2 linked regions of the Macaca mulatta genome follow. The protein of the gene in region 2 purifies or fractionates together with the protein of the main gene of each other region. This does not show direct contact. Links are inferred from orthologs where the notes say so. Each region holds a gene or a part of one and is shown on either strand. Other genes may lie near its edges.

Region 1 (4,305 bases), about 19 Mb from region 2:
AGGAGAAAAAACGTTAAAGTTTCACAACGTGTTTTCTTGGCACTTTCCTGGACTTCCATAGGTATAGAAAACCCGGGCAGATTTCTGTTAGGGCCCTGTACTAGGTACTGGGGTGTTGCGGGGGGAAGGGAAGTGGATTGGGGGGGTAGAAAAGGAGGGATGAGAGAGACGATCAATTTTACTCGAGAAGCGTACAATAAAGCTTGCATTCTTAACCCCCTTAAGTGCAAGGACTGTGTTTTCTGTAGCCAAAAATCAGGGCATGTTTTCAAACGTTAAGTGTAAGTTAGAATTATTCCAGAAAACTAATTCATTCAAAAAAAAAAAAAAAAAAAAGCAACTGAGGCACCACCGTAACCAAGTTCTGTTACTCTCGGGACGCAAAAACAAATAAGGAATATCCCCTGCGCTGGAGGAATTCACAATCGGAAATGTATGGGAAATAAGGCTGTACTGTAGTTAATTACAGCCAGAAGATAACTTTCAGTAAGTGGCAAGAGTCTAATGAACTGCAATATCTAAGGAAACCATGCAGAATCAGCTCAGGCATGCTTGTCTGTCTTCTGATGTGGTACACACATTAGGAGTGGGGGGTGGGGCTGCCTATAAGGACCTGAGCATGTGGCTCTCAGGGAGGGAGGCTTTCATAAATTGGTGAAAAACCTAGCATATCTAAAGTTAGTTTGTTTTTTTGACAAAACCGTTTTTAAAAGATAAGTCAATGAGAAAAGAAGTTTAACGTATTTAGAAAGCAATTCAGCCATCCCTCTCAAGCTTAAGGAACACTCTCCTGAAACCTCCAAAAATGGGCATAATAGAGTTAAAGCGAGCCAGTCTTACGTTTGCATGCTTTGGAATTTGAAATGCAGCGCAACTATTTCGACTCACCATGGAAAACAACAAATAGAACCTTCAAGTAAAACATTTTTCAATATCCAAAAACCTTCTTTAAACAAAGAAAAATCTCACCTCCAAATATTTTTTCCAAATACAATAACTGGTTTTACATTTTAAACATCATTACATATTTAACTACATAATACACTCTACAAGATTTCAGAAAATCGGGTACATTTTCGGGTGCACCATGAAATGAAGTGTTCAACTTAAAACTGCACACACTTCTGCGAGGCGTTAAGATATGCTTAGGTCCTAGAAGCTCAAGGCTTGAAGTAAAAAAGGAATCTAGTTCCTCTTCTGCCGCTTCGTTAAGTGCATTCCAAAAAGTGTGATCGTTTACTCCACTCAGAACTTTTGACGATTTTAATGCTACTACAAGAAAGAGCAATTACACTGGGCAAATCAATATTTAAGTAGACTGCAATTCAGTATTTGCGCACTTACCACTAACCCCTACTACGAACCAGAAGCAACCAAGAGTGACCCAATCGGAAAAGAGAATCCTCTTTTTGGCAAAGCCAGGCAGAGAGAAAACCTTAACTTTGGGGATTCATTTCAAGGAATGTCTACAAGCATTCCTCTCTCTCTTAATTATCTTATGTCTGCTCTACACAATATTGCACGGGCGGCAGAAACAGAGGTCTTTCAGATCTTGGGGGGAAAAAAGCGCACGACCCCCGAGTCTGAGGACCCCAAGTCCCAGCAGCCTGGCGGGCACACGTTTACCCTCAGGGTCAGGGCGCGCGCTCCCGTTGCGGCCGGGGGCGCGCCGACGCCGCGGCGCAGGGCCCGGCCCGACTCGCGAGCGCTAGGCGGGCGCCGGGGGGCTCTGTCCGGTTCGGCCGCCGGGCTCGCATCCCTGCGCGCATGCCCCGGCCCATAGCCCCAGGAGAACGGGGCAAAAGGGCGACTGTTACCCAATAATAGCGCCCTGCACGTTCGCAACAATGCAGGCAGGGAACCCGAGAGCCGCGGGCAGGGAACCGGAAAGCGAGAGAGCCCGGCTCGGCGGCTGCTCCTGCGCGCGAGCCCAGGGCTCACAGGGGAGCACGCGTCGGCCGGAAAGCAGCGCTGGGGAGAAGCGTGGGCGCGAGGGGGCAAGGGCACGGGTCCCGGCGTCCCGCGGAGGTCGCCTCACGAGGCGAGGCGAGGCGCGGACGTCCGAGCTGCCCCGTGCCACACGTCGGCCCAGCTTCCGAGGGCCCAGCCCGGTCGCGGCGGGGAAAGGTGCCGGCGCCACCAGGCCGCCGCCTCCAGGCGCGATGAATCGGGCTTTTTCCCAGTGCGTAGTCCAGGCCTGGCCGCCCCGGCCCGTCCGGGGTGACTCAGGGCCCGGCCCCGCTCGCTCTCCTGCCGCCCTCGGCGTCCTCCGCCCACGAGTCCCCCGGCCCGGCCGCCATTCCGCCCGGCCGCGTTTCGGCTGCTCAGGCCTCGCCAGGCGCCTGGGCTTGGCCGCCGCGGCCCAAGTCACTGCGACACCGCGGCTCGGGGCCGGGCCTGCGCCGCCGCCGCCACCTCCTCTCGGCCCCGGCGGCTGCCGACACTCACCCGCATCTCTGTGGTGCCCCAAAGGCTCCCGCGACGCCTCCGCCTGGTCGCTGGGCCTGGGCCCCGGCGAAAGCCCCGTCCCGCCAAGGTCTGGCTGCGTCCCTCAGCCACCGGGGCTGCCCCGCCTGGAGCTGCGTGCGACACGGCGCCCGCCTCCTCCTCCTCCCCTGCCCGCCCGGCCCTCCTCCTCCCGCCGCCGCCGCCGCCTGCACCACGCAACCTCCGCCCTCTCGCCTTCCCTCCGCGGCTCCCCGCCCTCTTCGGCCTCACCGGCTCCGGCGACCGCGGGGGAGAAGCTGTTGGGGGAGGGCCGGAACGCACCGCCATCGGCGTCCGGGGCGGGGGAGCCGAGAAACCGTCGTCGCCATCGCCCCGCCAGCCCGAGGCGCGGGAGGGGCCCGGAAAGCTCCCGCCCGCCCGCCGATGCCGGCGGCCCCGGGGGCGCCCCTTCCGCGGCCGAGGCCCCCGCTAGCGTGGGGAGCTTCTACCTGCGAGCCCGCGGCCCCTGCCCCGGACACCCGAGCCATCCCCGACCCGGGGCACCGGATTCTCCGCCAGGTTTTACAGCCTCCCTCGCCTTGGGGCCGCCGCGGAGGACCCCTTCCCGCCACTTCGGACCTCGCGAGCGGGGCTGAGCTGCTTGGGTCGGGGACACCACCAGCCTCTGGAGAAACGGCCTGAAGCACCCCGAAGGAGAGGGGGTCCCAGTCCCCCCACTCCTCCCCTGTGCGCACACCGCCCCCCCCAGCTGGCCTCGAACCTGACTCCCCACCTTTGTCGACCGGGACTGGGGGATGCACCCTAGATCAGAAAGTCAGAGGTGGCCAGGTGGCCCTCCAAATCGGCGCAGACTTCCGAGGAACCTGCAGCCAATTCTCGATCCCCTTAACACCTGCAAGGCCTTAGGAATCGGCTCCAGAAAGCTCGAGCTTATCTGCGTGTCTCTTTTTAAAAATCACTTATAAGATTAAACCTAACTAGGCTTTCCCTTTCAGACTTTCACTAACTCCTGTTTGGCAAATTTTGACATTCACTCTATCCTTCGTCTTTGTAAGGACAAATCAAGACTTAGAAGGCTTTGATTACATACACGGATGGCATGAGTCGTGATATAAAGTAGTATTGTTTTCACGTGTAGTTCGAAGTCATCTCATTTGAAATTAACTGTCATAATTGGCTATTTGGAATATTCAACCTAAAGCCTATCCGCTGCTGTGGTGACGGGTGGAGGAAGCGTTGTGGAACCCCCACATCTAGTGAGGGGTGGCTTATTAATACCACGGCTCACAGCATAACAGAGCGGCTCATTCCATGAACAACCCCGGGGGGATTTCGAACTCTATCATCTGGGCAAAAGATGTAATGAGTGTAACTTCCTGTTTTCTCCAAACGAAAACACTACACAGATTCCTGTACCACTCTGGGACAGAAATCCTCAGCCAGAGCAGAGGGCCGTCGCCAGAGTCCACACTGTTTCCTGCGTAACGTGGGTTTGTCTCTGAAGAAACATCCCACTGGTGTATGTGATCCCCTCTATTGAAATGTGGTCTTTTATCCACATCTCAGTCTCTCTAGAAGTAATGCATTTGTATGTACTTGTCACTCAGGTATGTAATCCCTTAATTTGTGCGGGATGTTGGGGTGTGAACAATTCTTGGTTTACATCCTACACTTTTGAATAACCTCGTCAAAACTTAGATGTATTTAACGCTTTTTTTTTTTTTGTGAGCACATGGTAAAGTTGGAAGTAAAAATGGAAGGTTTATCCCTGTGGCCCATGTTTTCCAGTGTACATATGTGGGTTTTTTAAAAAAAAAAAGTCCCAATTTCTTCCTTTTACTGGAAACTGCGTTTTTT
Region 2 (3,808 bases):
GTCCTGGAAGTATTTGTTCTCTGTGAAGAGAACTGTCTTCATGTTTGTAATTTCCTTCCTGATTTTCCGCTTGTACTATCTAGGTATGTTATAATGTGTGATTTTTCTTTTTATGGTAGTTGAAACGAAGTTTTTTACTTGGCTCCCTTGTAGTGCTTGACAGAAGACAAGCTCAGTCTTCTCCTGCACCTGCTTGAAGATGAACTTGATCACCGAACTGATGAGAGAAAAACTACAATCAAATTAGGCTCAGACATCCAAGTCCACGTCACTGCCTGTATTCTCTCTGTGTGTGGCTGGGCATGTAGGTGAGTCAGCGAATTTTGCCCGGAGACATGAGCCATGACAACAGCATTACACTTGTATATGTCAGTCACTTATCGCATTTAGGAATCACATGGTGTTTCCCGTGAGAAAAAGAGACAAAGAGAAACTGGGTGGGGGATGGCAGCGTGGAGAATGGATAATAAGAATTAGTAACAAAACCAGAACTGGAATTCAGGAATTCTTGGTGTTCACAACTGAACTTTGTTTATTGTACGGTTGCTTCTCGACTGGGAATTTGTGTTCTATAAACAGTGAACCTCCTTTCTAAAAATAGAAAGAAAATAAGCTCTTTTCTATTTTTAAGAAGGAAAAATAGAAAGGAAGTTCTTTTCTATTTTTAGAAAGGAAGAAAAATCCACTTAATTGATGAAAACTACCATAGGAAACACCAGCTGGAGTCTTCTAGGCCCCCGTGTTGCTATTTCCATTCCAGCTGTTCAATTTGGCATAGACTCCCACTATCCTTAATCTACCAAAGAGAGCATATTTAAAGTCAGATTGGTTCTGACAATAAATAAATCTTGATTTATTTTAAATATGCTCTCTTTGGTAGATTAAGGAATGTTTTTCGTCTAAAGGGAAAAGACTTTAAGAGGGACAAGAGAGGCGGGTACAGTGGCTCACCTGGCCAACATGGTGAAACCGCATCTCTACTAAAAATACAAAAATTAGCCGGGCATGGTGGCAGGTGCCTGTAATCCCAGCTACTCAGGAGGCTGGGGCAGGAGAATCACTTGAACCTGGGAGGCAGAGGTTGCAGTGAGCCGAGATCGTACCATTGCACTCCAGCCTGGGCAACGAGTAAACTCTATCTCAAAAAAAAAAAAAAAGAAGGACAGGAGAAACCTTTTCGTTGTTGTTGGTGGTCAGGCTGGTCTCAAACTCCCGACCTCAGGACCGCAGGTGATCCACCCGTCGTGGCCTCCCAAAGTGCTGGGATTGCAGGCATGAGCCACCACACCTGGCCGAGAAACTTTTAAAACATGCCTGCAAAACAGTCTTACCATAAAGAGCACAATAAGAACCCTAGGTCTTTCTATGGGAAATACATGAGAGATGATGAAGTATGAAGCTGGGGTCCTGAGATTGGAGCACAGAGGCTCTGACAGGCCATGGTTCCCTGTCCACTGGACTGTTCCAGAAATTGGATGAGATAAAGCATACTTGCGAGACATTACACTTAGTCATTTGGAAATGTTACACTTTGAGAAAATTCTCTTTTTTTTTCATTCCTATCTAGTTCCTCTTTGGAACCCATGCAGCTTTCCCTGATAACATGTTCGCAGTGTATGAGGAAGGTGGGGCTCTGGGGCTTCCAGCAGATTGAATCATCCATGACTGACCTGGATGCATCCTTTGGCCTGACCAGCTCCCCGATCCCAGGCCTTGAGGGGCGACCAGAGCGCTTACCTCTGGTGCCTGAATCTCCTCGGAGGATGATGACGCGGAGCCAGGATGCCACTTTCTCCCCAGGCTCAGAGCAGGTATGCACTTAGCTTGTTTGGGGTGGACTTTTAAACAACATTCTTGGCAAAAGTGTTATTGGTAGGCCGGGCGCGGTGGCTCAAGCCTGTAATCCCAGCACTTTGGGAGGCCGAGACGGGCGGATCACAAGGTCAGGAGATCGAGACCATCCTGGCTAACACAGTGAAACCCCATCTCTACTAAAAAAATACAGAAAACTAGGCGGGCGCCTGTAGTCCCAGCTACTCCGGAGGCTGAGGCAGGAGAATGGCGTGAACCCGGGAGGCGGAGCTTGCAGTGAGCTGAGATCCGGCCACCGCACTCCAGCCCAGGCGACAGAGCAAGTCTCCGTCTCAAAAAAAAAAAAAAAAAAAAGGCCGGGCGCGGTGGCTCAAGCCTGTAATCCCAGCACTTTGGGAGGCCGAGACGGGCGGAGCACGAGGTCAGGAGATCGAGACCATCCTGGCTAACACGGTGAAACACCGTCTCTACTAAAAAATACAAAAAAAAAAAAACTAGCTGGGCGAGGTGGCGGGCGCCTGTGGTCCCAGCTACTCGGGAGGCTGAGGCAGGAGAATGGCGTAAACCCGGGAGGCGGAGCTTGCAGTGAGCCAAGATCCGGCCACTGCACTCCAGCCCCGGCGACAGAGCAAGACTCCGTCTCAAAAAAAAAAAAAAAAAAAAGTATTATTGGTAGAAAGTTGGAAATTAATTTAGGTGGATAGGCTTCACTTCCCACTACATTGGTCACAATATCACGTAGTGTTTCTGTTCACTAATGGAGAAGCTAAATTCAGCCAGACCCGGTGGCTCACGCCTGTAATCCCAGCACTTTGGGAGACTGAGGCAGGTGGATCACTTGAGGTCAGGAGTTCGAGACCAGCCTAGCCAACATGGTGAAACCCCGTCTCTACCAAAAATGCAAAAATTAGCCAGGGGTGGTGGTGGGCGCCTGTAATCCCAGCTACTTGGGAGGCTGAGGCAGGAGAATCACTTGAACTTGGGAGGCAGAGGTTGTAGTGAGCCAAGATCGCCTCACTGCACTCCAGCCTTGGAAACAAAGCGAGATTCTGTCTCAAAAAGAAGAAGATTAAAGAAAGAAGTATCATTAATATCATTTGTGTAATTCCATTATCTCCCCTTTCCTTCAGGCTGAAAAGAGCCCTGGTCCCATTGTCTCTCGAACTCGGAGCTGGGACTCTTCCAGTCCTGTTGACCGTCCTGAGCCAGAGGCTGCTAGCCCCACCACCAGAACTCGCCCAGTGACCCGAAGCATGGGAACAGGAGACACCCCTGGCCTGGAGGTACCATCTAGCCCTCTGCGGAAAGCCAAACGAGCTCGCCTCTGCTCCTCCAGCAGTTCGGTGAGTCCACCGCGCATGTAGCAGTGGCTGAGCAGAAACAGCATGTTGGGCTTTCCCTGGGCAGCACGGAGAAGCAGGCATGAGCCCTTCCATGGTCCAGTGCAAAAAGTAGACCCTGTGAATAAGTTTAAAGTTGGGTGACCAAAGGGGAAAAATGTCAGTCATGTTTTTTGCTCCTTTTTGCTCCTTTGGGGTGGATTCTGGAGAAATAATAGATATTTCAGGCAAATGGAACAGCAGTGTGATACAGGGACAAACCTGATATGGCAGTGGTCCCCAACCTTTTTGGCACCAGGGACCGTTTTCGTGGAAGACCATTTTTCCACGGACCAGGGTTGGGAGGATGGTTTTGGGATGATGTAAGCACATTACATGTATTGTGTACTTTATTTCTATTATTATTATATTGTAATGTATAATGAAATAATTATACAACTCACCATAATATAGAATCACTGGGAACCCTGAGCTTGTTTTCCTGCAACTAGATGATCTCATCTGGGGGTGATGGGAAACAGTGACAGACATCAGGTGTCAGACTCTCATAAGGAGCCCGAAGTCTAGATCCCCCACATGTGCACTTCACAGTAGGGTTCCTGTTCCTGTGAGAATCTAATGCCACTGCTGATCTGACAGGAGGCAGAGCCCAGGTG

The links.
Region 1: the proteins of ZC3HC1 (region 2) and CUL1 purify together in Homo sapiens (affinity purification with western blotting; 3 studies listed by BioGRID, with this or other methods). This does not show direct contact. The link is inferred for Macaca mulatta from reciprocal best matches to the Homo sapiens genes ZC3HC1 and CUL1.

The regions. Positions count from the first base shown.
Region 1 is NC_133408.1:188,517,206-188,521,510, reverse strand, and holds the start of CUL1 (cullin-1), read right to left. Parts: upstream 2,969-4,305; 5' UTR 2,719-2,968; intron 2,593-2,718; exon of another isoform or gene 2,449-2,592; intron 1-2,448. UniProt on the Homo sapiens protein: Core component of multiple cullin-RING-based SCF (SKP1-CUL1-F-box protein) E3 ubiquitin-protein ligase complexes, which mediate the ubiquitination of proteins involved in cell cycle progression, signal transduction and transcription.
Region 2 is NC_133408.1:169,702,344-169,706,151, reverse strand, and holds part of ZC3HC1 (zinc finger C3HC-type protein 1), read left to right. Parts: intron 1-153; coding exon 154-308; intron 309-1,567; coding exon 1,568-1,811; intron 1,812-2,942; coding exon 2,943-3,155; intron 3,156-3,808. UniProt on the Homo sapiens protein: Required for proper positioning of a substantial amount of TPR at the nuclear basket (NB) through interaction with TPR.